Linked DNA regions of Diceros bicornis minor. The protein of the gene in region 2 purifies or fractionates together with the protein of the main gene of each other region. This does not show direct contact. Links are inferred from orthologs where the notes say so. Each region holds a gene or a part of one and is shown on either strand. Other genes may lie near its edges. The genes, in order: CCNT2, LARP7, RPL11 and ZC3HAV1.

Region 1 (7,129 bases), on a different chromosome or scaffold from region 2:
ACTCACATTCAATTTGAGACCACCCCCTTCACCCTGAAAGAATAGGGAGAAAAAAGATAAAAGAGTGAGGCTGTGCAATTGATGCAAGTGCATCAACACAAATATTAAAACCACTTTTGATATAGTAGCAAAGGTAAAGACGACAAAGGTTAGATATGAAGGGTACAAGGTTCCTTTTCAAAGTAGAAATTAACAGCAGATTTCAATTATCCTAATAATGACTCAATGTAAAATGGTGAAGTTGACCTTCATACACACATAAGACACTAAGTAGGGTATTAAAAATTAATATTCTGGTTTTTTTATTGAATGATGGCATTTAAATAAAATAGTGAAAGTTAGAATCCAAGCAATCTGGGCTTCACCAGTCAATTTAAAGTTAAAACTGTGAATTTTAGCTGAAAATAAGATAATTTGTTTTAAAGTACACCAACCAGGCCATAGAGACAAATTATGAAGGAGGGAGGGTTCAAAAACAAAAATGAAGTTTTGTGGTGAGATCATTTACCAGAAGTAGAAAAGTAAGCCTGATTCTTACTTTTCTACAGGGACATCTGTAAATGGGACATCTGTACCCACATCAAGAATTTCCAGAACTATTCTGACCTGTGATTTGACCAACATTTTCAAGGGCTGCTTAGGGAAAGCCACATTTATATTAGTATCCATTAGTTCACTACTTCCTTTGGAGACAATTTAAATTTCATTCCTTCAATCTAAATGTTATTACCAAAAAGGCTTCCTCTCTCTTCCATAACACTATCATTGACCTAAGTTCTGTGCACAAGAAATAACTAGGAAAATGGAAATAAAGCAAAAACCACACAGATTTAAAAGAGAAAGAGTAGAAGGAATGGAGATCACAAGAGACCAAAACGTATACAAAAATACATATTGTTCAAGACAAACTTACATGCTAATCTGATAAACTAAATCAGAATTATGATCAGAAAAGATTAAAATAGGAATCAATCTAAACCATGAAGCTTTTCCGTCCAATCCAAGAAAATATTTCAAGGACCTTCTCAAAGACTGTTTTCTTAGCAAAAAGGTCCTAATGACAATCCACAAATAGCATAGTCTTACACAGTCTATTTTTCTACACACACCTTTCAGAATTGCATTCTAAAAATAGCTGTGATAAAAAGAGCCAAAAATATAATGAGAATTAAGATGGGGTTAAATATTTCTAAATACACAATTTTCTTTGTTAACAGATGCAAGACAATATGTTACAGCATGTTACTGTGAAAAGAACAAAGTTACATCTTTCGTAACTTAAAATAAAAATTTCAACTGAACGTCGCTACTCAGTATGTCAACATTTACAGGTTATGTTCAAAATCAGTACCTTAGTATTCGAGGGTAAGTTTTACTTCAAAACTATATATACATACTCAAACTCTGACATAGCATGTTTGAGGCAAGATTTGACATTTGAATCACCAAAAATTTAAGTAGACAATTAATGCTGAAGTGTGATCAACAGGAACGTCTGACATCTTAAGAAATTGTGTTAGCAAATGAAATATTTCTGCTGAACATTCAACTCTTTCAAAGGGTCATTTCAAAAGAATACTGCAATTAAATTAAGCCCAATTCACAATATTTGAAACAATTTAAGTCGAATAAGATTAAGATACACAACAGAATGACTAGGCTTGCCTAAATTACACTGTACATTAGTTTGAAATTATTCAAAAGTTTGATTAATTTAAATGAAAAACTTAAATCAACACTGATGTAATAATTCCGAGTAGAGAAACGTTTCTTTTATCTTTTAGCTCAAAAGACCTGGCAGAGTCTAACATAGCGCCTAGCAGCCTGTCATCACAAATTAATAAACCAACCAACCAACAACCCCGCATTTGAATCAAAAAATTTATCATGCGTATTACCTTCACTGTTAACTTACAACACTAAATCCAACAATAAAATCAATGATCAACTAACTTCTTTCTGCGTATCGATTTACCTTAAGATTTTGTGGTAGTAAAAACAGACAATAAAATAGTACTTACATTTCTATTGAATTTGGTGAAAGAATGGTGCATATAAAATCTGTGCATATAAACAATCGCAGTGTTTATTGTAAGCTGAGAGCTGGAACGTATCATTTAGGAAATATCTGAGAAGAACAAGACCTCATTTCCAAAATAATTTTGATGGAAAACTCCCAACCTACAGTTTTTTTTCAATGCTTCCAACTCAAACCCAAACCAAAAACTGTTAACAAAACAAAACAAAAACAAACCCCGAAAACCCGCAGGGCTGTGACGGAGGGTGCCGAGGGAGAGAGAAGGCTCGACGCCAAACAAACAGTAATAATAGTAACTGCTGAGCATTCCACTCTAATATTGCTATTAAGCGAGCCCAGGAAGGCTTTATCAATGGCTACGACTGACTCAACTCAACATCACACAGTTGCAACGCGCGCGCGCACACCCATACAAAACCACGCCAAGAACATAAAAGCCCTCCGTCCAGGGCGCTCCCAAGGTACAAGAGAACCGCCATCAAACCCGCGAGCAGCGCGGGGAAAGGCTGCGGAGCACACTTAACGCCTTTCAGCACCGCGAACCCTCCTACCTCTCAACCCCTTCTCGGACGAGGGGAAGTCGAAGCAGCCGACTCTCTTCTGCGATAATCCCTAAGATTCCCCCTCTCGCCTGGGCGGCACTCCCAACCCCCGCCGCCACCACGCGCGGCCCCAAACAGATTACACAACGCAGCCTCCCAGCCCGCATTCCCGGACGCCTCTCCTCCTCCCCTCCTCCGCTGGCCGCTCGCGGCCTCCCGAGCCCGAGCCTGCCTTCCCTTACGGCGTGGCCAAAGCCCAGGAAGGCCGAGGTGGCGGCGCCATGTTCACGGGGCACCAGGCCCGGCGACCGGGCGAGTAGTGAAGAGGACAGGGCGTGAGCGGAGGAGGGCCAAGAATAGGAAAGGATACACATTGAGACGCTGTCCCATGTCCTGGATGAGGTTGGCCGCCTGCTGGCGGTACGAGAGCTCTTTATCCGCCTCTACTCCGCAGCGGCGGCTCGGCGTGTTCTCCAGCTGTTCCCGAGTAAAGAACCAGCGAGAAGAAGCTCCACGGCCCGACGCCATGACACTTCCTCCTCCGCCCGCTCCCTCACCCTCCCCCCTCCCCTCCCGGCTCGCGGACTCCCCGCCAAGGCCGCACGACCCCGCCCCACTCCGCTCGCCGTAGACGACGCACCGCCCCTTTTCACCCCCGCCGCCGCCCATGCGCATGCGCGGGGGAACGCCCTCCCGGCTCGCCCTAGTCTTTTGCTTTCTTTTTCCGGACCCCTGCGTCGCTCTCGCGCACGGGACCACAATGCCCCGCGCAGTTTGTCATTTGGAGGCGCCGAAGGTGGGGGTCGTCTCGGAAGGAAAAGGTCGGCGCGGTGCATGCCGGACCTAGGATTGGCGGGGCGAAGGGGCGGGGAGGAGAGGAGGGAAGAGGCTGGCCTGGGGTCGGGTCCCGCGAGAGGGGGGCACGCGGCTGCGCCGTGGGTTGGGCGTGGGCTCTGAAATCCGGGCGAGTTCTTGGGCTGGGAGTCTGGCGGCCCTTTAAAAAGAGAAAATCCTTCCTGTTTTGTCTCACACCACAGCTTCCATTTTTCCCTGCTGTTGGTTCGCCGCGCAGTGTCGTGGTTTTCGGCTCCCGTGTCCTTGAGGAACAGCCTCCGCCCAACGGGCAGCTCTGGGAAGGACCTTCCTGGGAAAGAGTGCATAGGAACGTTCCATGTTTGTGCCGCACTTAAGTGCTTTTTTCCTACGTTATCATGTTTGAATCCCACAACTGGGCAGACCGTGGGTTTATTTGTTAAGGTTACTTGCTAGAGGTTAAGGTTACTTACCCAATTAGTAGCTAGAACTGAATTTCTAGTCCCTATCGGTAGTGTGTTTTTAAACCAGGCTATGATTTAAAAGAGAAGGTTAAGGAGAAGCAGATAGTAAAGAGGAACTGAGTAAAAAATTTATCTTTAGTATTTAATACAGTAACCGCGCACACACTTGTTGATTAACCCCTTCTCCCGTCCCTGCAAGAAAATACCGCAGAGCTCCACTCTGGGAGTCAGTCTCTGGGTCTGAGCCGACTAAGTTTTAAATTTTAACTATTTGCCAAAGACTACAGAGTATAGGCAGACATACTTTTTTTTTTTTAAAAAAACGCAACAGATACTACTTTTAAGTGAGTTCCTGATTAAAGCTCCAGGCTTTTGTCATCGTTTAGGGGCTCTGCCTGTCCCCATTACACTACAGTACTGAGATATTGATTTTGTTGCAGTAGGCAGTTATTATGAACAACTGTCTAAACTTCATTTCTTACCTACCTTGCTTGCCTCACATCTTATGCTGCTTGGAAGTTCCAGGATAGATTGATTTAAAGCAACGTTTATAAAGTGTCTACCTCCAACACTGTCATAATAAAAACTTGAAGCAACTTAGTAATACAGAGGCACTTCCTCTACTTAATAAAGAACATTTATAAAAACCCTACAGCTAGCATCATACTTAATGGTGAGAAACTAGAAGCCTTCCTGCTAAGGCAAGGATGTCCCTTCTCGCCATTCTTTTCAATATTGTACTGGAATTCCTTGCTAATGCAGTAAGAAAAGGAAACAAAAAGTGAACAGATAGGGCTGGAAGAAATAAAACTAACTTTGTTCACAGATGACAATTGTTTATGTAGAAAATCTCCAAGTATTAAAAAACCAAAACTAATACGTGATTATAGCAGGATTGTAAGACATAAGATTAATATACGAGTCAATTGTTTTCCTATATATCAGTAATGTACAATTGAAATTAACACAATACCGTTTACAAAAAGTAATACTTAGGTATGAATCTAAAATATATACGGGATCTATATGTAGAAAACTACGAAACTCTGTTTAAGGAAATCAAAGAAGATATAAATGGAAGGATATTTTGGGTTCATGGATCAGAAAACAATATGGTTAGATGTCAGTTCTTCCCAATTTGATCTACAGATTCAATGCAATCCCTATCAAAATTTTAGCAAGTTGTTTTATAGATATTGACAAATTGAGTCTAAAGTTTATATGGAAAGGCAAAAGACCCAAGATAGCCAACATGGTACCAAAGAAATTAGACTGACACTACCTAACCTCAAAGCTACAGTATGTGTTGGCAACGACAGCATATATTGGCAAATGAATAGACACAATAGATCAATGGGACAGAATAGAGATCTCAGAAACAGATCTGCACAAATATAGTCAACTGATCTTTGACAAAGGCGCAGAGGCAATTGAATTGAGAAAGGATAGTTTTTCAACTAATGGTACTAGAACAACTGGACACCCATATGCAAAAAAAAAAATCAAAAAACAATCTAGACACAGACCTTACACTTTTCACAAAAATTAACTGTGAATGGATCATAGCCCTAAATGTAAAATGCGAAACTATAAAACTTCTAGAAGATAACATAGGAGAAAATCTAGGTGACCTTGTGTCTGGCAATGAGTTTTTAGGTAGAACAGCAACAGCATGATCTATGAAAGAAAAAATTAAGTTGGACTTCATAAGCAAAAATTAAAGACCTCTGCTCTGCAGAAGACACTGTTAAGAGAGTGAAAATACGAGAAGAAAATCTTTGCAAAACACATATCTGATAAAAGACTTGTATCCAAAATATGCAGAGAACTCTTAAAACTCAATAAGAAGAAAACAAAGAATACAATTTAAAAATAGGCAAAAGATTTGAACAGACATCTCACAAAGAAGATATACAGATGGCAAATAAGCATGTGAAAAGATGTTCCACATCATAGGTCATAAGGATATTCTCAGTAGCAATTTATAATTGCAAAAGATTGGAAGCATGACTGTCCATGAATTGAGGATTGGATGATTATGGTATGTCTATGTGATGAAATATTATTCAGCTATTAAAAACAAGAAGGCATCAAAGTGCTGAAAGAAAAAACTGCCAACCAAGAATAGTCTATCTGAAAAAGTTGTCCTTCATAAATTGGAGAAAGAAAGAATGTTCCAGACAAATAAAAGCTAAAGGAGTTCATCACCACTAGACCAGCCTTACAAGAAATGTTAAAAGAAATTATTTAAGCTGAAATGAAAGGGCACTAGTTAGTAAAAGGGAAACATGTAAAAGTATAAATCTCACTGGTAAGAGTAAATATGTAGTAAAAATCAGAATAATCTAATGTTGTAAAGGTGGTGGGTTAACCACTTATAAAGCTAGTATGAAGATTAGAAGACAAGAGTAGTAAAAATAACTATGACTACAATAATTTGTTGATGGATACACAAGATAAAAAGAAGTAAATTGTGACATCCAAAACATAAAATGTGGTGACGGAGGAGGGAGTAAAATGTAGAGCTTTAGAGTGTGTCCATATTTAAGTTATCAACTTAAAATAGACTGTTACAAAAAGAAGGCAGCAGCTTACATGTGGAATGACCACTAAGGTATTAAGCAGGAAAAAAAAACAAGATGCTACTGTTTGGGTAAAATGAACAAAGGAATATGTACATTTGAATACTTTTATAATCATAGACTATCTTTGCAAGAATACACACAAAGAAACCAGATAAAATTAGTTCCTTCTGGGAGACATAGGTTGAATTTGATCGTTTTGAACTTTTCTAACATGTTCATGTATTGACTTTTCAAAAATAAACTTTAAATTTTTTATTAGGTTGTGAGCAGTGTTGTGTAGAAATGGCAACTTCCATTCACTTTTGTTCAATTTTGATTGGGAAAAAGCCTCAGAATAGTCTCTAAGTTAAACAAAATAAGTGGGTATTTATTTTAATTAAGTTAATCTTAAGTAATTACCTTGAACATAGGTTTAAGTATTCTGGTTGGGTAATATAAATTGAGTTGAATCAGAGCTGGCTTACTTTTTAGGAGAGATCAAAAATGTGGGGAAGGGTACTGTACAAGGAAGAGAAATGCTTGGATGGCTGTGAATGGTTGTCCTTTGGAATCTGATGGTGATGGGATTTTTTTTTTTCTGGGGTATATTTTGAAAAAGTGCAGTCTTGTGCCACACAATGACGTTTTGGTCAACGACAGACTATGTCCGACAGTGGTCCCGTAAAATTAGTATCATATAGCCTACGT
Region 2 (7,936 bases):
CCAGCTGCTTGACCTCTCAGCAGCATCTGCAGTTGATAACTCCTTCCTGGAAAACATTTTTCTTCACCTGGCTTCCAGGAGAGTTTTCCTCCTTCTCAATTTCTTTTTCGGGACCCTCCTACTCTGCTCTACCTTCACATGCTGCCTAGGATTGCATTCAGCCCTGGGCGCCCTTCTTATCGACACACCCATCCTTGCTGAGGGTCCCTGGCTTTCAGCTCCTCGGCTCCACGCTGATGTGTCACCCATCTACGTTCTCCAGCCCCGACTTCTCTCAGTAGCTCCCCATTCCAATATTCGACTGTCCATTTGACAGCTCCATTTGTTCACCTAAAGTAAATCTCAAGTTTAAAATGGCAAACATTAAACTCTCAAATTTTAACAGACCTTTTTTTGCCTAGTTTTCCTGATCTGCGAAAATACCAATTAAAAAATTGCCGAGAGGGCAAAAACCTTGAAATCCTCCTTAATTCTTCTTTTCCTCACACCCTACAGCCAATTCATTAGCATTTCTATGAGCTCTGACTTTATACAACATATCTTGAATAGGAATACTTCTCATTTCTTCCATCACAACCACCTGGTCCGAGCTCTGTGTCTTGCCCGAACTACTGCAAGAGCATCCTCATGTATACTAGTTTATACTCTTGTTCCATTATCATTTCTCCAGATAGCAGCCAGAATAATAATTTAAATATGTAAATCAGAACATGGCAATCTCTTGCACAAAATCCTTCAAAGGTTTCTTAGCACCCTCAGAATAAAATTCTTACTGTGGGCTACTAGGCCCTATTCAATCTGGCCTCGGGATATCTCCCTAACTTCATCTCTTAAAATTCTTTCCGGCACGAGCACTCCAACTACAACGCCCCATCTTTCTGTTCCTTAAAACACGCTAAGGCCTTCCCATCTCCAGGCCTTTGCTCTCGCCACTGTCTTTACCTTTCCTGCAGCATCTATAGGGATTATGTTCTTGTTCATTCAGGTCTTTGAAAATGTCATTTTCTCTACGAGCCTTTCTTTTCTACCCAACCTAAAATATTTCCTCCCTGCCAACCTTACCCCTACCCACTCCTCCAGTCACCACTTTCTATCCTTGTATTCTCTCATCATTACCCAGAATTACAGTTTTACTGTCTGTCTACTTCACTAGAAAGTAAACACTATGAGGACAGGAACTTTAGCTTGTCACGACCCAGGCATTTGGTGAATTAAATAAATAATGTATTTAAAAGGATCTTATAAACTATAAAGTGTTAAGCATTTCAAGTTCTTTTGTAAGAGGGTAGAATTATAAACAAAATACAAATGTGGCCTACGATTATCACTACAGCAGGGTCCACTGCTAACTTTCCCTTCTGAAAACACCAGATTATAAACGGCAGACTACCAGCTCTCCAATTCTTTTCCTTGTCAGAAAATACCACCTAAAGAAGTAGCGGACAGACCTGCATAAGCACAGAACAGCACAGTTCTCCTAGAAACCAGACTACTCCCAGGATTCTCATATCTCAGTCCAGAGATTCTCCTTCATTCCTTCTCCTAGGGATTATTTTTGTGGCTTGGGGAAGTAACTTCAGAAACTCTTACCTAGTGTGCATAACACATATCAGCAATTTGCAATCTTAAAAAATATTTATGTAACCATTATTATCATTTTATCATTTACCAGTCAGTTTAGAACAGTTTATAAACTATTCTAGAAGTCCTCCATCCTTCACAAAAGCTGTGCAACTTGTCTACAAGACAGATTTAATTTTGCGACTGTGATGTCAAAACTTTCAACACTAAACATTCCCAGCCCCTTCTTGTAACATAATATGTATTTTTAAAAAACTGTTAAATGAACCAGTGAAGTCTAACTAGCTTCTAAACAGAGCTTTTAAACACAGAAAACAAGTTACTGTGTAACAATGTCAGTCACTTTATATACCTTGCTTGAAATCCTCACAAGCCCACTAGGTTGTTTCTTCCAACTTCTTTTTATAGAGGGTCAAAGGTTAAGTGACTTGAGCAAAGCTGGCTGGGTAAGGAAGCTCAGGTATGTGTGACTCCCACGTTGCCTACCTTTCGGTAGAACCTCTTGCAAACTGTCACCACGCATTCTATGTTCTGACTCAGGAATTCTTAACCTGAAGTCCATGGAATTTTGGGTGGGTTTCAAGAATTCTTGTGAATCCCATGAAATTGTTAAAAGATAAATTTTAAAGGAAAAGTAAAATCACGACTATTGTATAAATATAAAATGAATACATGTCAAAAATCTTATTTAAGTAATTCATTAGGGAACTAGCTAAGTGTTAAAAATCAGTTCACAGGAGAATTAAAAAACCAGACACACAAATATAAGCTATCAGGAACGGCGAAATGAATTTGTTAATAAACGCACAACCGGTCAGGGCAACAATGGCAAAAATAACTGCAAGACTAATTTCCATTATTATCGTTGGCTACAACTGACACAATTGTGAAATAACTCAATGACAACGACAGGCAGAGATAACCTGGAAGAGGGAGCTACCCAAGACACCCAGTAGTTTTTTTTCTTGGCCATTTCAAAGTCTTTCACAATTTTTCCTAACAAAATTATATGCAAAATGTTTTGACATGTACCAGCATTTTCCGGGGAGGCTCAGCCACAGCTTTTATCACGTTTTTAAAAGAAATGGTGTGCCAAGAAGGTTAAGAACCACTGCTCCAGTCACAGCCACCTATGCAAAGGTACCCGAACGCTTTCGCCCCTCTGTGCGTTTGCTCTGAACGACTCCTGTCTGCCTTGCCTTATAAACCCCACTCAATCTCAAGGCCCCGGCTCACGGCCTCTTCCTCTCCGGAGCCTTCCACCGCATCTCCCCCGATTAACCGCCTCCTCATCCGCTTCCCTGAAGCACGGCTATTGACGCACTCCGTACACCGTATTTAGCACTTATTTGTTAGCTCCCTTCCACAACTGGACTTTCAACTCTTTGCTGACAAACACTAGAGTCCTGAAGAAGGAAATGATTTCATTTTAAAACACAAGTCCTCACATTCGCTATTCTTTGGCCACCAAGCGGCAAAGCTGCGAAGCAAGGCTACTTCCATTTTGACTTCTGCCCCTCTCAGCACCCGTCCCTCCGCACGGACGCCGCCAGGGCGGGGCGGACCCCAAACTTCCAGCGCCGGACAACGCGCGCCCCCAATCGCTGACAACTGGAACTACAAGGGCTGCCAGAGGCCTTCTGCGCGTGCGCACAGAGAACCAGGGCACGCCAACTGACGGGTGAGTTGGAGGGGGCGGGGTGAGAGGGCCTACAGAGGATAGAATGGACTGCATGAAAAAGGACTGAGGGGAATTTAGACCTCACCCGACCTGGGCAACCCTATGGCCCACTTGAACTTACTCCGTTCAGCCCCCAAAATACAGGGCCAGAGACTGCGTCCTTGAGCTCTTTCCGTCTCCCGATCCTTACGGTCCTGGTCGTCTCTGCGTCATAAGAGGAGCGACACCGTTCTCCGCTTCCCGTCGCAGAAGACGGGCCCAGGGGCGGCGCGCCGTCTCTTACGTCACAGGCGTGGGCTGCCTCGGGGGGCGGGGCATCGCAGAACGCGCCCGCCCAAGGAGGCTCGCAGCTAGGGAAGAATTTGATTGGCGGTTTGAGAACGGCGGTTCTGACGAGGGCTCTGGTGGGCGGGCTAAGTATGGGGTCCTGGTCTGGTGCGGTCCCGGGCTAATGACGTCACAGCCTTTCGCGGGAAAAATTCGAAAGTGGATTTCGTGCAATGGACGGTGAAGTGAACTGATTCCCGGGGTTTCCGGGGCGTGAGGGTGGGTAGGCGCCGGGATTTGAGCGACAGGCGGCGAAGCTGATTTGGGGCGAGGGGACCAGAGAATCTGCTCGGCCGGAAGCGGACCGGAGGGTGCTGTGTGGAGCCAGGATTGGGTGGTGACAGTCACGGCTTGGTCGGACTCCCTGTCATAGCTGGTTCCGCGTCCTCACGGCTCTTCCCAGCCCCTGCTCTGCCGTTCCCGCGTACGGGTGAGGACCAGAGAGGGTTTTGCTCCTTGTTTTCAGGACTGACAAAGGGTCAAGTCTTCACTGTCATTTGGTTACACAGGATCCTGGTAGTTAGAATCTTGGCAGATGAAGTGTGGGCTTCTTCTTTGGTTATTTGGACTGAATGGTTTTCTAACACGGTGTTGGGTCCGTGCCTCTGCAGCTTTTAAATCTGTGAACCATTTTGGGATTCGAGAGATCCTGCTTGTTCCAAAACAAAAGGACCAAAAACATCTCGTCATACGTAACAGGAAGAATGGCTCCTAGTTTAGTGAAAGCACCGAATTTTATATATAAATGTATAAAGCAGCATAATAATGTATGTGTATATATGTGTGTGTAGGCATTTATGTATGTCTGTACTTATATCATTGCCACAGAGCATCTCCACACCACTTTAAAAACTTCTTTGGGCACTAAACTCACCCTGCAGAGATGGGTCAGTACTTGAATTGTTTGACAGATGTGGACAGATGAAGACTTTCAGAAAATGTTTTATCCTTGCACCTCACTTAAATATATGATGCTGTTGGCTAAAACCATTTTTCCTGTTTAGTTGTAAGAAAGGAGTGTTGACTTTCCTTTGAAAGTGGAAATTAGGGCTCTTCTAAATCCAGCTAACCTTTTTTTTTTTTTTTGAGGTTTAATCCTATAATCTAATTTACCATTTATGAGAGTTTGGACCTTCTCAGTTCCTTTTAAGTAAATCCCACAAGTAATATCTCTAATTTAGGAAAACAATGGGGAATTTATTTTGCAATTCCTAAGTAGCATATAAGTAATTCTAAACTAATAAATACTGGATTCCTAATCTGTAAATTGTGGTGATAATATCTACTCTTCAGGATTATGAGACTGATGAATATTATATGTGAAGTATCTAGTCCCAATTCCTGCCTGACATAGTAGGTACTCAATAAATTGTCGTATAATGTACTATTTGTGAGTATGAGCATCAGAGTTTAGGCTGCTTAGTTTTGAATTCTGAATCTTCCATTTGTTTACTTTATGATCTTGGGCAACTTACTTACCTATTACGTGCCTTAGTTTTCTTCTTTGTAAAATGAATATGAAAAATAGTATCTATACCATAAGGTTGTGAGCGTTTGCAGCATTTTAACACTGTCTAGCATATAATTGCACAGAATAAATGATAGCTATTGTTAAAGGGATCTAAGATTAATAACTGCCACATGCCCAGCACTGTGTCTACACCATGTAGTCTCATCTACATACATAGGATGTCCAACCCGTTCAGTGGCTGGGAGCAAGTTGCTTTAAAAGCAGCAGTGAATGGTGTGTTTCTCTGGACCTCTCTGTTATCTTCTTGGCATTCATTAGGCGTCTGACAATTTCTGTGGGCTGGAGGGGAGGGATATAGGATATGGGAGTTATATTTCTGAAAGGCAGTGCCTCTGTAGGTCTGGGTCCTGTCCTGTGAACTATGTTGTGGGGCATTAATTCATATCTCATTTGCCTACTTCTTACCCCATCCTTTCTCCACACAGCAGCTGGAGCAATCTTTGTAAAACCCCAAGTCAGATAATGTAATCTCATTCTTAACATCTTGCCGTGGCTTCCTACTGTCTTTGTAGAAAGTCCAGACAACTCAGCCTAACATAGAAGGCCCTCTGAATCCTGTTATTGCTCACTTTTTCAGTCTCCTGTCTCACTACGTTACACTCAACCTCTTAGCCGTACTACTGAGAGTTTCTTGATCACGCCTTGCTCTGTCTTCCACAGGCCTTTGTACATATTGACTCATATTTGGAAATAATTCCCTGGCATCTTCCCTTGGTTAATGGTTATTTCAGTGTCCAGCTCAAACATTACATCCTTCAGGAATGCCCTAGACCGAGTTGGGTGCCCCTCCTGTGCTTATTCCTGTCATATTTTATTGTAATTACTGTTTATCACCCTGCTATACTGAAAATTCCTTGAGATTAGGGATAATATTTCGTTCATTTTAGTATTTCAGCCTAGCACAATGTCTGGCACATAGTAAGTACTAAATAAATATTTGTAATTTATATATAATATGTAGGTAGCCTATTTTATATATTTTATATGTATCAAGGAGAAATTGAATCCAGAACTGCAAATTATAGCTTTATTGAATCCCCCAGGTCTTTTAGGGCCATCTTCTCAAACTCGAGCGTGTATCCCTGTCACCTACAAGGCTTGTTAAAACAGACTACTAGCCCTGATTTAATAGGTCAGGGGTGGGACCCAAGAATTTGAATTTCTAACTAGTTCCCAGGTGATGCTGATGCTGTTGGTGCAGGGATCATACCTTTGGAACCACTTCTTTAGGGATAAAGTAATAATTTCCTTTGGTATTTCTGTTTACTTCTTCAAGTCACCATCAGTGATTTTAGATTTCCAAAATTGCCCACAATAACAATTTTTTTTGTGTGTGTGAGGAAGATCAGCCCTGAGCTAACATCCATGCTAATCCTCCTCTTTTTGCTGAGGAAGACCGGCTCTGAGTTAACATCTATTGCCAATCCTCCTCCTTTTTTTTTATTCCCCAAAGCCCCAGTAGGTAGTTGTATGTCATAGTTGCACATCCTTCTAGTTGCTGTATGTGGGATGCGGCCTCAGCATGGCCGGAGAAGCAGTGCGTTGGTGCCCGCCGGGGATCCGAACCTGGGCCGCCAGTAGCAGAGCACACTCTTAACCGCTAAGCCACGGTGGCGGCCCCCACAATAACAATTTTATCCAATGGCATAGGATAACTACAGTACTCATGGCAACGATGTTGAAGAGATTTTTCCTTGCGGAAGTATTATAATGTATATTTGGTCCTAGATACTGTGGTATATTGACTCTAAGATGTAAAAGGAAAAATTTAAAACGCAAGGGGGCCATCTTGTGGTGGCCATAGCAATTCAAAAAACTTTAAAAATTGAAGCTCTTTCTATAAGGAACCAAACATGGAGGGGAGGGGGAATCATATTTTCTGATATATATTATGGCACTTGGAAAAATGCTTGCGAGTGCTAATTATTTTGTATATTTTACTTGGTTTTCTCTACCTAGCAAATTCTTTTTCCACAGTGTGGTGTCACTCTTTTCATATGTCCTCGGGGGCAGATAATTTCATTATACCTCTGTTTCCCTTGGTTACATGGAACTTGGAACTCTTAGATTCCTCTCTCTGGTCAAGAGTTTGTTGGGGGGGGCTGGCCCCGTGTCCTAGTGGTTAAGTTCAGTGCCACTCTCTTCAGTGGTCCGGGTTTGGTTCCTGGGTGCGGACCTATACCGCTTGTCAGCGGCCATTCTGTGGCAGCTACCCACATACAAAATAGAGGAGGACTGGCATAGATGTTAGTTCAGGGTGCATCTTCCTCACGTGAAAAGAGGAAGATTGGCAATAGATGTTAGCTTAGGGCGACTCTTCCTTACGGAAAAAAAAAAGTTTGTGGGGAAAAATTGTATTTGATATTTATTCTTTTCGTAGGGGTTGAATAGTCCTTGTCATTTTTCATTTTAGGTAGCATAAATAGTTGAATAACTACTGATTATTTTCTGGACCTGACTGGTTTATAAGTTCAGAAGAAACAATGGAGAGCCGAGAATTTATTGTAAGTCTTTCCAGTTTTTGCTTATTTCCTCTTTTCTTCCTTCCTTCCTTCTTTCCGCATTTCATAAATGTCTTGCTAGGGTTGCCAGATTTAGCCAAAAACAAAACAGAACAAAACAAAATAAAAAAAACACCTGAAACCTAAAAGTAGGACACTCAGTTAAATTTGAGTTTCAGATAAACAGTGAATAATTTTTAGTTTAAGTATATCTGTCTCAAATATTGCCCTGTATTTTATCTGGCAACCGTATCTCTTGCCTACTATTTGCTTTTGTTATACAAAGTCTTTTGGCACAAATTCTTTGGAAGCTTG
Region 3 (7,565 bases), on a different chromosome or scaffold from region 2:
GCAAGATCTTATCTACCTAGTTCAGTGCTGGATCCCTCCCTACACCTGCCACAAACAAGGCACATCTTCCCAAGGGGGAGAAGACAAAAGCAGACAACACTCAAAGCTTCAGTCCAACATTTGAACATCAAGATAGCACATATGAAATAAAGGCGATTCTACTGTCCTCACAGACCAGGAGTGGAAAAGACTGAATATTCATACCACGTAGAAGTCCAGGCCGTAGATACCAATGCTCGGGTCATATTTGATCCCCAGATCGATGTGTTCTTGAATTCCAAAACCAAAGTTTCCAGTATCTGAGAAGTTATTTTTTCTTAACTCATACTCTCGCACCTGAAGAGAAACATGCAGCCATCACACTCCTTGTCAACTCAAATTTCCCCCAAATAATTAGTTTAGCCTGCAACACTCAGCACCCAGAAATCTAATTCGACGCAACTGGGCCAGGAACAAAATCTGATTTCCCCAGTACACCAATCACATCCCAACTATGGATTTTATAGAACTCTCCCAACTTTCAAAGGGCAGGGAAAAACCCAGAGAAAGGATCAAATACAGGTTAACCCTGCTGAGTGCAGGAAAAGCCCTTCAGAACTTTAAAAAAAAAAAAAAAAATCAGACCACCAAAGACAGTACATTGTGTAACTACTGCCACTATAATTATCTACATGTGTTAAGCTGGCACTCCAGTATCACCCCACGATGGGATCAGCCTCACCTTTAGACCTTTCTCCAAGATTTCCTCTGCCTTGGCCCCACGGACTGTGCAGTGGACGGCAATCTTCTCATTTCTCCTGATGCCAAAGGATCTGACGGTGTATCTGGCTGCAGGGGGTAACAAGGAGTCAGGTGTTGTCACACTCCCACTGCACTCACCTCTTCCCCACAACATCATCCCCACAACTCCAAAGAGACATTAAGTATCAATCTACTCTAAATGGTGCTGTTCTAACCAGTGTCACCTACATCTGTTATACTGGTCTCATCTGTTTAACAGAGGAAAGTGATTTTCCAACCTCCAAGTCATTCAGCCATCCTCAAGCAATTAAGAGCTCCAAGTCACAATGTCTAAGTCTCAGGAACAGCAAGTTCACAACCAGAATAGGTCCCCAGAAAAAAAGATAACTGTGTTCTAAAGAAAACAAAACATTGGTAACAGCTAATATTTGCTAAAACCTTACTGTACCGTTATCCCCATTTTACAGATGAGATTGTGCGAGATTCACTTGCCCAAGATCAGAGTTGATAATAACTGGCAGGATCTGAACCCAAGAAACTTGTCATATTCCACTATCCTAAAACAATGAAACTTTTTTTGTGTGTGTGAGGAAGATCACAAACTGAGCTAACATCTGCCAATCCTCTCTTTTTGCTGAGGAAGACTGGCCCTGGGCTAACATCCGTACCCATCTTCCTCCACTTTATATGAAACGCCACCACAGCATGGCCCGACAAGCAGTGCGTCGGTGCGCGCCTGGGATCCGAACCCCGCGCCGCCGCAGCGGAGCGCGCGCACTTAACCGCTACACCACCGGGCCGGCCTCAATGAAACTTGAAAAACAAAAAAGTAACAAAACAATAACAACGCCTACATTGTGCTTGATATGTAGCAGGTATTTCATATACACTAACTCATTCCACAATTCTCTCCACAATGTTCTCCACAATCTTATAAAGCAAGCATCATCTTTCCTTTTGTGCAAGTATGCAGCTTAAGTCCACAGAGGCCAAAGTCACAGACGAGCAAGTGGTGGAGCCAGTATTTGAACCCAGTTAGTCAGGGTACACAGCCCTGCTCCTAACGCAGCCTGTGTAAGCCTAACTGCTTATCAGACCTAACACCATGCACTGCACTCCCACCATTTCCACTCCACCTCATCCCCCGTACCTGGAAAATCTTTACTTGGGCTAGTAAAATCTGGTATTCCAACGCCACACCCAATCTTGAAAAGATACTTCTGGGGTAGCTCAGGAAGGCAATGCTTTTAAAGGGTGCCGACTTTGACACTTTCAAAACGGACACTCAACAGGCTTGACAGCGAAGCAGTTAAGAAACACCCAGGCGGGCAGAGCGGCCAGTGCCCCCGCGCCGGCCCCCACTCACCCTTGGAGAACACCGGGGTCTGGCCGGTGAGCTGTTCCAGCACCTTGGCTGCCCGCGTCAGTCTGTCCCCACTCTCCCCCACGCAGATGTTGAGGCAGAGCTTGCGGATGCGAAGCTCCCGCATGGGGTTCTCCTTCTCACCTTGATCCTGCTGCAACAGGGAAGCGCAGGAGTCAACAACCTCAACCCCACCACCGCCAGCCCAGCATTTTCCTACACGGCCTACTGGCGTCTGCCCATCCCGAATCGCAACAAAGGCCGAGGAGTTAAGAACAAGGTACCACCGCGTCTGTCTGCGAGGCGTCAAGACGACAGCTCGGGATCTTGTTTCTCCTCCCCCACTGAAGGATGGGGGAGCAGAAACAGGACAGGCACCTGGACACTGAGGACGAACCCCAAGGGACTCAACGTGCAGGGTGACGGGAGCGCGCCTCGCAGAAGGCCGACGGGGGAGGGGGGCAGAAACAGCACGTAACTGCTCAGCAAGCACGTGGTGCGACGTCGCCCACCCCGTTCTAGGGCAGCTTGGCGGCGCCCTCCCGAAGCGGAGGAAGCGGCTGAGAGTCCCGCGCACCGCGCGCGTCTCCAGCCCGCGGGAACGGAAACAGGTCCGGGCCCCGTGTCCCACACCCCTCCGTGCGCTCCACTCGCCCTCGCTGCAGCCTACGAGCCGCGCTTCTGAGCCCGGCGGGCGGCGGCCCCGAGCCCGCTCCTAGGAGGGCGGGAGAAAGGACGACAGGGTCCAGGTCCGCGCCCTCAGGCCACATGGCTATGCCAGGTTCGGCACGGCCAGCACTGCGGAGTCCGTTGTCCTCGGGCCACGGGCTCCGCAGCCCCCGCGGGCTCGGCGGGCCGTGGATGGAAATGGATGAAGGGAAGCAAACCCCAGCCTCAGCTACTTACCGCCATGGTGGGAAACAGGAAGAGAAAGTGAAGCTTCCGGCCCAGGGCCTCATGGGCCAGGAGGCGGGCTTTTATCCCAAGCTCACCAGAGAGATGAGGGAGAGGAAGAGAGGCGCGTCTGGAGCAGCGCGGCGCCGGCGCCCCCGCGTGGATACTGCTAGCAACTGCAGGCGACGCAGCTGAAGACTGGGACCGGGGTTTTCCAAAAATAGTGTTTAAAGCTCCCTGAACTGGCATTTCCTCGAGCTTCCAGTGCCCATTGACGCCCTTCCCTCCCACAGTCTCAGGACTTGGTGGTTCTTGCGTGATGAAACAGGCAGAACTACATTAACTCAATTATGCAAACTATAAAGCAAAATAATTTATTCTGTAACAGTGTAAACAAATGGAACTTATACAGTTAGAACTGAGTGGTGGTTTAAGAATCCCGAGCTATGAAGACAGGCAGATGTGGTCCTGTCTTGGCTAGCTCATAGCTATGTGACCTGGGGCAGATTACTAATTAAACCTCTTTCAGCCGCAGTTTTCTTCATCTTTAAATTAGGTACTCATATCACATGAGATTGTTGTGAAAATTAAATGAGGTAATCATGTAGAGCACATAATAAGCCCACAATAAGTGGTTACTCTTGTTGTTAATATAAATGCACTCTATCCAAGCAACACCCCTCCCCACAAAATGTTACATATGGTATGTCATCAAGAGATGGTTATCCTGCAGGCACAAAGGTGGCTGGCAGATTAGTCTCTGACAGACAAGGACTCCAGTCTCGGACAACAATAGGGCTCTCTGGTTTGCACTAAATCCTCAGCAGCAGGACCCAAGGGAGTGCCAGGATCCGCATCCCAGGTAGAAGCCGGCCTTGAGTCAGCCAGTTCCTTTCACAGGAACAAATGGGAAAAGGAGAACATACAGGGCCTTGGTGGAAAAGGAGCCAAGCCGCTTCCTTCTGCTGCTGTAATCCCCTTCTCTTATCATCATAGGGGAGGCAGAAGCCCCCAGGCCCTCCCTGTAGGGACAAAAGGGCACTTCTGGGAAGCTAGGCTGATGGAGGAGGGCGAAGACAAAAGACCCCTCCTTTGAGCCTCCTCCATAGAGCACCACCAGCTAGCCTAGAGCTGGGCCCCCAGCCAGACCTCTGGGAAGGCCAGACCCAACAGAGGAGCTGCTTCAAAACTTGTGCTAAAGAGATAAGACAATTGAATGCAACACATGATCCTGGATTTTCTTTTGCTATCAAGTATGTTATTGGGACAGGTCTGTAGACTTCAGAAATGTACCCATGTTAATTTAATGCCCTCATTCTGATTACTTGACCTTGGGTATATAAGAATGCCCTTGGGTTTAAAAAATACACATTCAGTATTGGGGGTAAACGGGCATTATGTCTGCAGCTTACTCTCAAATGGTTCAGAAAAAAAAATGTATATTTAGAGTGAAAAGGATAAAGCAAATGTGGTAAATTTAAGATTTGGGGAATCTAGGTGAAGGATACATGGGACTTCTTGCAATTTATCTGTAACTCTGAAATTGTCAAAGTGCAGAAAATAACCTGAGGGAAACACGTACCTACAAAGATATAACACAGAGCTCATTCTCCAAACTCAGTCTCATTCCCTTCCCTTCCCTAACTTTTCTCCGACAGAACTTCCTCAGGATAGCTCTCTCTTGGTTCCAGCGCCCACACCGTGTCAACTAGAGTAGCTAATTAATAGCTAGTTTATCATGTCCAGCAGGTCCTACTGGTTCACTTAATCTTCAACATCCCTGTGGAGGCAGATACTGTTACTGTTTTCCCGTTTTACGGCTGAGCAGACAAGGCTACACAGAAGTTTAGTGACTTTTATAGACACTGTTTAAATCAGGCAGTCTGAGACCAGAGCCCCAGTCCTGTTCTAGGAGCTGATGAACAAGGCCCGGGCCAAAGGTTTCCCCTCTACACCTCTTCCTCCCTGTGACCCCAGCTCTCTGCTGCTTGCACCAGTCAGGCCCCCAGAAGGCAGGCAGAGGGGCAGAAGCAGACCCAACACCCGACCTGTGTCCTCCTGGCTCAAGACGCCAAGGTCAGCAGAGGCAGAGGCAAAAAGACGTGCTGTACTTTATTCCCAGACCTCAAACTCATCCACAAAGGGAAACCTGCGTGAGCAGGGGCACATTTACGACAGTTCAGGCAAGAGAAGAGCAAGTCCAAGGCTTCTCCTTGACCCGCTCTTTCCCAGGTGTGGCTCCGTGTGGGCTGCCTGTGGCCTGCAGGGGCCCGAAGGAGCTGTCACCACTCACTTCCTGGCCGCTTTCACGGCTGACTTGGTGACTCTGCCACCAGACGCTGCTTTTTTCTCCACAGCCTTGATGACCCCGACAGCCACCGTCTGCCTCATGTCACGCACAGCGAAGCGACCTAGGACACAGGATGCGGAGAAACAAGTGGGGAACACTGCCAGGGCGTAAGCTATGGGACACCTGCACAGGAAGTCAAGTGAGCCATGTAAGTGATACTTTGAGATCTACTTATAGGCTCATTAATTCTCCCAACAGCTCTCTCAGTAAATCGCATTATTGTTCTCTCTTTTACAGATAAGAAAACTGAGGCACAGAAGTTGCAGGTCACCTGGTTTTAATGGTTGAAAACCCAGAAGTCTCACACCAGTGCTTATATTCTCAGCCACTTCACTGTCCTGCTTGCATAAATAAAGGTCACAGGAGAGCTTTGCTTCGGTGCACCCACCACCCTACTGTACTAATGCCCCCAGCCTCCAGGCAACCAGCACATTCTCTGTGCCCATTACAGCCCAGTGGATGGATCTCATTTACATTCAACTGTGAATCTGGCAGTTGCTTCTGGGGGTTCTTGAATGCTCCCCTAACTTCAAACTGTGGAGGGAAAGGCTTTGGCACCTGGCTTCAAGCCTCAGGATTTTTGGAAGGGATAGGAGGAACTAACCCAGCATTGCAAAATTCGTGTAGCAGCCTCTTTGGCCCACCTCTAAAATTAGCCTTTTGAAATTTACCTCCTTCCCCATTAACTGGGAGACCCTGAGGGCAGGGACTTGTTTATTTGTAAATATCTAACATCTAGCCCTTCATATAAGTGCCTACTCCCTATATATTTGAGTTCAGAACCATCTAGGTTAATGGTTGAAGCCCAGCCATGCATAGCTTACTTGGGTAATCTAAGAAACAGACCCCTACATTGCAGCCTTGACCAAGTAAGTCTATCAGGGCCTGAGCCTCTGGGTTTAATGGTCTCCGTGAATGGTTCTGGTAATCCACCAGGTTTGAAAGCTACTCAATAGAGAGAAGGAAGGAAAAAGAAAGTCCCTACTAATCTCTGCTCTATTCCCCTCCTCTCCGTCAGTGCTTCTCACACTGATGTGCATCCCAGTTACATGGGGTCTTGTTAAAACGCAGATCTGAGTTCAGCAGGTCTGGATGGAGCCTGAGATTCTGCATTCCTAACCCACTCCCAGGCGATGCCTGGTCCACGGACCACACTTTGAGTAGCAAGGCTCTAAAGTGGCCCCTGCCTTGCCGTGTGTCACTAGGCAAGCTGCTTTCCCTTTCTGGGCCCTGCTAACTTGGCACTCAGATCCTTCTGACCAGGTTCCACTACCTGGCTCAGGTGTGACACATTGGTCAACTGGCTCCCTGGAGCCAGGAGGAGGAAGGGGCAGCCCTGGCAGTCAGGTGCTGTTGGGCCTTACCAAGGGGTGGGAACTCGGAGAAGCTCTCCACGCACATGGGCTTGCCCGGGATCATCTGGACGATGGCCGAGTCCCCAGACTTCAGGGCTTTGGGGCTGTCTTCCAGCTTCTTGCCTGAGCGCCGGTCGATCTTCTCTCTCAGCTCTGCAAACTTGCAGGCGATGTGGGCTGTGTGGCAGTCCAGGACTGGCGAGTAGCCAGCTGCAATGCTGCCGGGATGGTTGAGAATGATCACCTGGAATGCAGGGTAGGATGGGGAGGGCATTGGCCAACCGTCCTTCAAAGGAGGTGGCCCTAACCAGCTAAGCCGTCAGGTGCCTTGGACACGCTGTAAATTATAGGGAACGAGTGAACATGTATAGGGTAGACCAAGTTCCATGCAAAGCAAATCTCATGCATCCCAATTTAATTTTCACAGCAGGGAGCCTGAGTAACTTACCTGAAATTTCATAGGAAGAGGCCGAGCTGAGCATGAGTAATACTAAAACCTACACACATAGATGTCATTACATGTACTGCTTCTCCCCGCCATTTAGAAAAATGGATTATAATAATAGCAGCTACCTAACTTGTTAAGCAGCCCCAGGACAGCTGTCTTATACGTCACCTCATTTAATGCTCCCAAGATCACTGCCAGGTAGCACCAGCCTCCACATGCATCTAAGAATGTGTCAGACACTGCATTAAGAAAGGGCTTCATATTCTAACTCTGGGCCAAGAAAACACCTGAGAGCTCCAAACATACAGATTCCCAGTTTCCACAGAGACCTATTGAATCAGAACTACTGGAGAGAGGCCTAGGAATCTGCATTTTTGAAACAGTTCCCCGGTGATTCTAATCCACCCGGTTTGA
Region 4 (8,155 bases), on a different chromosome or scaffold from region 2:
GGCCTGACAAGCAGTGCGCCGGCAATCGGAACCCAGGCCGCCAGCAGCAGAGCTCGTGCACTTAACCACTATGCCAGGGGACCAGCCCCTAATTAATTAATTTAAAAAAATAAAAATAAAAGTAATGTAAGAGAAAAGAGAACTATAGAATAAACAGGAGAAATCCTATGTATGAATAATAGCACTAGAGAGGAAATTTTCTAAGTCCAGCAAAATGCAAACTGTCCTCAGGCAGAGAACAGTTTATCAAATTGAGCGGTAATCTCAAGATGGGTATCAATTGGTCAACAGATTCCATTAACATGTAACCTACAAAAAAGGTCCTTACATTCCCACACCGCCAAGTTTTAGAAGAGAAGGTTTTATAAGTTGCTAAGGGGAGACTATTTTAAAAACATACTTGGGGAAAAAAACCATTTTCTAGGCTTTCAGGCAAAAAAAAAAAAAATCTCCCAAGAGTCTTTATTATGAGGAAACAATGTACATTAATGGATCAAAAATTTCTAATTCTCAAATTCAAAAGTGATGTAAAAGGAAATTAAAAATGTGACTAGATTAGTAAATGTAAGAAATAAGAATTTATCACTTCACTAAAAAAAATTTAAAAATAAGACTTTAATGAATTCCCCAGAGGATCCATCCAAACTTGCACATACCAAATTATCCCTATATTATACACACTCTTAAAATATAGAAAAGTGGAGGTTAACAACCCAATTTATGAGTTTCAATGGTTTTGATGTTTCAAATCAGGCAAAAAAAAAATACCATAATAAAATTCATAAAACAAAAAACTTAGGTTTCTAAACATATTGTGTGTAAGAGATTGAAACAAAGTTTCTAAGTATATTGGATATGTAACATATCGAAACAATTATAGATTATGCCTGTGTAGGATTTTTCCTGAAAAACCACAAGTCAGATTATAAAACAATCAGGGAAATTTGAACACCAACTGGATACTAGATGATATTAAAATTGTAATTGTAAAAAAATGTGATCATCGTACTGCTGTTATGTTAATAAAATAGAGTTCTTATCCTCTAGAGATACTTAAGCATTTACAAAGCAAATGATCTCTGGAATTTGGTTTAAAATAACACTTTGGAGTTGGGGACAGGGATGGGAAGGGGCCAATAAATGAAACAAGATTGGCCACGGTTTTTGGAAACCGATGAAGTGAAATGATGGGTACATGAAGGTTCATCATTCTATTTCTCTACTTTAGTATATTTTGAATATATCCATAGTAAAAAATTAAAACATAGGAAGCATATGTATTTAAAACTAAAAGTCAACACTAGTTGGTGAATAATTTTTCATAACAGAACAGAAAAAGAGATAACAAAGCCTTCCACTTCTGTTGCTATTCAGTATAGTGAGCTAGAATGTTCCTTCCTTTTCTTTGTATCCTCCACCCTCCCCTCCTTTCCTCCTTCCTGATTTCATCTGTTGTTGTGACTTAGATGACTCCCTCTACACACATAATCCGAAACTCAGAAACAGACTTTCAGATTGGTGCCTCACAACATATTCAACAAATATTTTTTTAAATAACGGAGCATACTCAAGCACTTTTTAAAAATTTTACAGTTTTGCCCTAAACAAATACATTTAAAAAAAATATTAATCTCACCTACCTCATCCATTTAAATTACCTGTCTTTTGTATGTTTTATTACACATATATTGGGGGTAAGTAAAGTTTTTTGCTAACAAGTGCAGGATCAAAAGTTTGATGACCACCATTTTGGACACTAGGACACCACTTCAAGTTTGTGAAGGATGAAGAAGGGGTTGAGGGGACTGTCAGAGAGCCTGCCCTGGGGGAAACAAGATGAATTTGCTTCGTGTTGTCAGGATATTCAGGTACAGATGCTCCTTAGACCCTGGGAGATGAAGAACCTAGAGTCAGTAGGAAGATGTGGGCAGCGGATGTACATATGGAAGCCGTCTTTGTATATGTGACAGCTGAACCCAAGGGAGTGAGCTCTCTTAGGGAGAGACTTGGAAGACAGGTCAAAAGGCTTAACTCAAACCTTGGGATACACCTATATTTATCTGGCAAAAAAGAACAAGTGGCAACAGAAGCAGCTGCCTGAGAGGTAAGCTGCACTGTTTCCAAGTGGTCCCAAGAGCCCGTCAACGGTTCGGGCCACCGCAGTGACACCACGGGAAAGGAGCGCTGGGTGAGAACCATCCATCATTGGCAACTTTGAAGAGGACTCTCCTGGTCAGGGGCTGCGGACTAGCTTCAGATATCAGAAAAGTGATAACGAGAGGAATGGAGGGCCAAGCAGAGATCCCCGGCTCAGTGCGGTGGAGACGGATCCGGGTGCCGAACGCGGCTGGGGTGCTGGGAGGACCGCAACACGCCTAGGGACGAAGCTAACAGAGAGGGAAAGACTCAAGACTCCAGAGAGTAGAGGCATATTCCTTTGTTCCCAAACCTGCCTCCAAATTCTCTAGGCCCTGACTTGCCCAAAAGTACTTTATTCTCATGGGGGTGGGAGTTAAGCGTAGTCTTCACCCGGGCAATATCGCGTTAGCCATATTCGAGGAAAGGTCTAGAAGCATTGGAGGAAAGGGAACTGCCAAGAGTAGAAGCGCGGGCCTAGCAGGGGCTCTCCAAGGGGAGCAGAGAAGTGAGGAGCTGGAGGAAGAGGCTGTCGGGCGCGAGGTCCCCGCGAGGGCGCGCCCCTCGAGGAGCAGCAGTCGCGGCAGTCCTCCCAGACCGGGACCCCGGGAAGCCGCCCCTCCGTCTCAGCGCACTTACCGATCCGACTGCGAATAGTGGCACCGGTCCAGCAGGTTGAGCTTGCAGAGGTGCAGGTTTTCACAGGGTCTCTGGCAGAACTTGCGACGGCAGACCCGGGCTCGAGTGGTAGCCACCACTGACCGGGTGACCCCGGCCTTGCCGCCGGTCTCCAACACCACGAAGCGATCGGGCCCGGCCGCCTCCAGCACCTCGCAGAGCTGCGCCTCGCGGAGCGCGATCTCGTTGAGTAGCGCGTCCAGGGACATGCGGCCCCCGTGGGCGCACAAGATTTTGGTGATGAAGCAGCACACCTCCGGGTCCGCCATGGCGCTCTACGCTGGGCTGGCTGCGCCGCGGGGCTGCTCCGGGGAGAATCGAAACTTACAAGAGTCCCCGGGGGCGGGGGCGGGGGCGGGCGCGGGCGGTGCTCCGGCTGGGCGCGCCCGGGGCGAGCCAGCGCGCACTCTCCATCGCCGTTAGCTGAGCGCAGCGCTTTCGGTTTCACACTCGGCTCTGGGTCAAGAGGCCAGATCGCACCGACCCGGTCCCTGTGTCAGATTTAAAATCTATCGCGACGGCAACCGAATGGAATGAAAGCGAACAAGCGCGGGCAAATCTGCCCGCACCACCCGGACAGCTCCCTCTCAGTTCCAGGCTGCGCGGGGGTGAGGTGCCCCAGCTCAGCGCCGCGAGGATTCTTTCGAAGGAAGAGAAACTAAAAATGATCTCTGGGCGCTGGCAGAGTTTTTATAAACCAGCTGAAAGTGGCGAATGACGCGAGTCTTGGGAACCCCCTTGAGGAGCCCTCTTTCTCCACCCCACACATCCCCTGAACGAATAGACCTGAGTGCGCACTTGCTCCGTGCTGGGCGGTATTGGTGAATCTTCACAACAACTCCACGAGTTAGATATTATCCTCACTCTGTACTTGAGGAAGTAACGAGTAAACACGCACAGCCATCGAGCTGGAGCCCGGATGCTACCCGAGGTTCCCCAAATCTGGCCCCCAGACCCCAGATCGTGGTCCGTTTGGCCAGGACCAACGTACACTTTCTCCCATGCCCTCCTAAAGAACAGCGATTATTACTCTCCTTCCTTTTTGCCTTCTCACAAGCTTTCTGAAGAACCCCGTCTTGACACATTCTTGCCTGTGTCTATCACTAACAGCGGTGTCCCGGACACCGCTTAGTCCCTGGTGGCAAGTACTCACAGACGAGCAGGCTTAGACACATCCCAAGATTTTAGATAGGTTCTCTTTAGGTATTTGGACAAGACCTTTTCCCCCTGCGGGGACCCACGTAGGCCCCAAGAGTTGGTATAAAGATTATTTTAAAGTGAAAACATTTGAGCTACAGATGATGCAGAAAGAAATTTTATCTGAACTTCTCTTAATCTGCTAAAGCAGAGCCTCCAGAAAATACAGCTACCATTAACCCTTTTCCAAGAGAGTTTCCTGTTCATTCAGCTGCCTTGGAGACAGACTGCCCATTTCTATTAGCATCAAAAAGCCCAATAGAACCTTCCATACTCTCCCATTGAAGTCCTAAACCCCACTACCCCTTTTGTTAAATTGAGATATATAAAGTTACTTGGGGCTATTTCAGGAGTTTTCCATTACTGGAACCTCCCCCCTCCCAATGTGTGAACAAATCTTGTCTTTTCTCCTGTTAATCTGTCTATTGTCAGTTAATTTGCAGGCCTCCAATCACTGGACCCAAATTGGAAGAGGAAAAAGTTGGAAGTTGGAAGAGTGTTTTTCCTCCCAACACTCCCAGGTAAAAGAAGTGCGTCACTGATCAGATAAGAAATAAACCTTTTTTTTTTTTTTTAAAGATTTTATTTATTTCATTTTTTCCCCCCAAAGCCCCAGTAGATAGTTGTATGTCACAGCTGCACATCCTTCTAGTTGCTGTATGTGGGACTCAGCCCCAGGATGGACAGAGAAGTGGTGCCTCGATGCGCAACCGGGATCCGAACCGGGGCCACCAGCATCGCAGCGCGCGCACTTAACCACCAAGCCACAGGGCTGGCCCAGAGATAAACCTTTTTTAAAAATGATAGAATTTGGTTGTCAAACTAGAAATTCTTCAAAATGACTAATGGGAATTCTCCTGTTTGGTAATTCGAGGTAGATGAACTGTTGGCTCGGGAATAGAGTACTTTAGTAATGAACACCAGCCAAACGTGGGGCCTGCACAGGATCATCTGACTTCTTGTTCCCTCTAGCAATTTCTTCTACAGTTGCCTTTTTTTTTTTTTTTTGGTGAGGAAGATCAGCCCTGAGCTAACATCCATGCCAATCCTCCTCTTTTTGCTGAGGAAGACGAGCTCTGAGGTAACATCTATTGCCAATCCTCCTCCTTTTTCTCCCCCCAAAGCCCCAGTAGATAGTTGTATGTCATAGTTGCACATCCTTCTAGTTGCCGTATGTGGGACTTGGCCTCAGAATGGCCGGAGAAGCGGTGTGTAGGTGTGCGCAGGGATCTGAACCCAGCGCCGCCAGCAGCGGCGCTGGGGCACTTAATGGCTAAGCCAGGGGGCTGGCCCCTATAGTTACCTTTCAATTCACTTGGCCTTATTTGTGGTCTGACAGGTTCCCAGGGACTGAGCTTTTGTTGTCTAATCGATTAAATTCAGCATAGTATCTTCTGCGTGGCCTTTATGGTAGTTACGCTGAACATGTCGAAATTTAAGAAATAGTCCCTGTACTCAAGGAGCTTGTGTTTGGGAAGACATGAAAAAACATTAAAACATAAGGAAATCAGGGGTTAAATGCTGCAATGGGTATATAGGAGATTGGAAAAGGAGTACGGTTTGGTTAGAGTGGTTAGGAATAGAGATATAAAATCCCCTCAATTCGAGGCCATGAAAAACGATGCAAGGGGTTGTGGGAAGGGAAAAAGCAGACATTTTGGGAAATTTTAAAATTTGTATCGTCACAGGTTGGGTTCTCCAGGAAGCAGATACTGATATGGAGTTAAGGATACAGAAGATTTCCGGGGATGTAACACCAGAGAAAGTCAAGGAAAGAAGCAGGATTGATCTGTGGGAGCTGTCAGGCGGCGATGTAGACCTGACAGTCTCTGCCAGCCCGACAGGGAGCAAGTCTAGCCTTGGGCAGAAAGGCCTAGGCCCTTGTACCCTGCCTTGCTTCGTCATTGGCGGGGGCCATGAAGAAATGTGTGACTTCAGCTGAAACACTGGGACGGATCCTGAAGGAGCTAAAGCTGGAGACTATCAGCTAAACATACTCCTTGCAGCTGGGCAGCAAGCCCTGGCTTGAAGGAGGATCTGAGTAACCCATTATGTCTGCTATCGTGCACCCTTTGTGCCACATGGATCTATTTCCCCATCAGTATTCAGGGAACAGCTCCTTCAGGGCTCTGATGGGCCCTGCTCTTCCTGAAAGAAAACTTAGAGAAGTTAATAGGATGAACTATAGCCCCTGTCACTGCAATTGGTTGCAAGATCACAGCTGGTCCTCATCATATCTGTCCACCACTATCCATTCTAATTCCCCTCACCCTCGGCTACCACCTCACCTGGTCTCAGTAGCTTACCTGAGTGGGCACCCTAAATCCTCATTCCTAAGGGGTCTGAGCATCATCTCAGACCAGGCTTTCTGCTCTTATGTCTATTCACAGTCACAGTTGGGCAAAAGAGTACCAACTGGCACCCAAATAGGTCACCAGAGTCCGTACATATTCCTCCCCAGTCCCTGTCTAACAGCGGCCCTATCTCCTCCTGCTGACCAAGTCAGTTACCTCTGATAATACGGCGTTCCCTTGCCTTACCTGCTAGTCTCTGACCATTAGGAAGCCAAAGTGCCTGGTGGCAGCCATAAGTTGTAGTCCAGTGGGATCTTTGCTGTGTCCCCAGGCAAAAATGTGCTCCTTTTGGAGACCAAGACCTCTAACTCTGCAAAGCCCAGAGTTGTGGGGACAGGGAAGCCCAGTGGGTCATTGGAATGATGCTAAGGGGGCCACTCATGCTTCCGCCCATTGTTTCAAGACTCACGTACTCTTTCTGTTGGGGACACAGCACCATAATCAGACACTAAGTTGTCTGATTGAAGTCATATCCCTTGATGTCCTGGAGGAGATGTCATCACTGCAGTGTATTGCCTTCATGCTGGATCTTGAGCTGCATCTTTAACTGGCCATTCCAATATTTGTCTATCCAGTAGCTTCTGGGTCGTGAGGTGTGTGATATGACCAGCGGATCCCATGTTCATGGGCCCACTCCCCCATTTCCTGTGCCACGAAGAGAGTCCTCTGTTAGGATGCTATGTTATGTGGGATTCCATGTCTGTGGATCAGGCGATCTTTAAGTCCCTAGAGATTGGTGCTATGGAGGTCCTGCAGGCAGGAAAGGCAACCCCATACCTGGAATCTGTCTATTCCAGTGAGAGCAAACTGCTGGCCCTTCCAGGACAAAAGGAGCCCAGTGTAGTCACCTGGTCACCAAGTAGCCTATTGGTCTCCTTAAGGAATAGAGCTTAGCATCGGTCATTATGGCTGGTAGATTGGACATTCAGAGGTGGTAGTACCTATATTCGTTTTGGTAAATGATAGTCCATGCATTGCCTCCATCTCTGTCACCATAGCCTCTTTGTTCAGTTACCCATCATGCAGCAATGAGGGGAAAGGGGTCTGTGACAAAGGCTGGCTACATTAACAAGTGAGAGCTATCACAGTAGGGAAGGATCACAAGGATGCAATGGAGGGTTAGCCTGATTTCCAAGTATGTCAATGCCAACTATACATTTTGGGGTTAGAGGAATGACAACCAGTGGGTTCATGGACCCAGGGGACCCATTGTAAGCTCAACCTCAATCAGGCCTCCATTTGCTCCCACTCTAACATGGGAGCCACGAAGATGCTTCAGGTGGCAGAGTATTGGTGACCTCTGACCTTGTGCCCAACAGTCATCAAAATGTCTGGGTACTCTCTTCTGTCATCCACGTAAATGTTGTAGATCTCCCTGGGGAAGGATTGGAGGAACAATTCTAGCTCATTCTTGCCATCATGTTGCAGGTCCTTCTCCCTGAGGACCTGGCCACCTCTTCAGTCACTGGGTTCTGAGTCCGAACACTGGTTCAGGTACAGAAAGCGGGCCAGGAATTGTGACTTTTTATTGGGGTGACCATCCTCCTCATTGTCCTGTTTATTAATTCTTGTTCTTTTTAGATTACACATGTTAAACAGTATTTTGTGTGCTACCCATCTATTTTCCTCCTAGGGAAACTCTGTTCTATTCACAATCCCTACAGCTCTTTACAGGTCAGGCCCCCTGGCTGCCACTCTGACTTAGTCATTACAAGCCCTGGCTTCTGCAGGAAAGGGCCATCACATGGTGTCTATTGCATCAGGGCCTATCATCCCCATTGCTATTACTG

What was found.
Region 1: the proteins of LARP7 (region 2) and CCNT2 purify together in Homo sapiens (co-immunoprecipitation; 3 studies listed by BioGRID and IntAct, with this or other methods). This does not show direct contact. The link is inferred for Diceros bicornis minor from reciprocal best matches to the Homo sapiens genes LARP7 and CCNT2.
Region 3: the proteins of LARP7 (region 2) and RPL11 purify together in Homo sapiens (affinity purification with mass spectrometry; 3 studies listed by BioGRID and IntAct, with this or other methods). This does not show direct contact. The link is inferred for Diceros bicornis minor from reciprocal best matches to the Homo sapiens genes LARP7 and RPL11.
Region 4: the proteins of LARP7 (region 2) and ZC3HAV1 purify together in Homo sapiens (affinity purification with mass spectrometry; 3 studies listed by BioGRID and IntAct, with this or other methods). This does not show direct contact. The link is inferred for Diceros bicornis minor from reciprocal best matches to the Homo sapiens genes LARP7 and ZC3HAV1.

The regions. Positions count from the first base shown.
Region 1 is NC_080749.1:20,538,139-20,545,267, reverse strand, and holds the start of CCNT2 (cyclin-T2), read right to left. Parts: upstream 3,133-7,129; 5' UTR 3,109-3,132; coding exon 2,951-3,108; intron 2,104-2,950; coding exon 2,022-2,103; intron 1-2,021. UniProt on the Homo sapiens protein: Regulatory subunit of the cyclin-dependent kinase pair (CDK9/cyclin T) complex, also called positive transcription elongation factor B (P-TEFB), which is proposed to facilitate the transition from abortive to production elongation by phosphorylating the CTD (carboxy-terminal domain) of the large subunit of RNA polymerase II (RNAP II).
Region 2 is NC_080750.1:7,542,007-7,549,942, reverse strand, and holds the start of LARP7 (la-related protein 7), read right to left. Parts: upstream 3,015-7,936; 5' UTR 2,620-3,014; coding exon 2,614-2,619; intron 1-2,613. Other genes in the region: protein ZGRF1, read left to right, coding at 7,604-7,624. UniProt on the Homo sapiens protein: RNA-binding protein that specifically binds distinct small nuclear RNA (snRNAs) and regulates their processing and function.
Region 3 is NC_080752.1:40,127,185-40,134,749, reverse strand, and holds the start of RPL11 (large ribosomal subunit protein uL5), read right to left. Parts: upstream 3,032-7,565; 5' UTR 3,017-3,031; coding exon 3,011-3,016; intron 2,259-3,010; coding exon 2,108-2,258; intron 829-2,107; coding exon 722-828; intron 337-721; coding exon 205-336; intron 1-204. Other genes in the region: elongation factor 1-alpha, somatic form-like, read right to left, coding at 5,288-5,409, 6,713-6,947.
Region 4 is NC_080742.1:86,916,861-86,925,015, forward strand, and holds the start of ZC3HAV1 (zinc finger CCCH-type antiviral protein 1), read right to left. Parts: upstream 3,146-8,155; 5' UTR 3,084-3,145; coding exon 2,776-3,083; intron 1-2,775.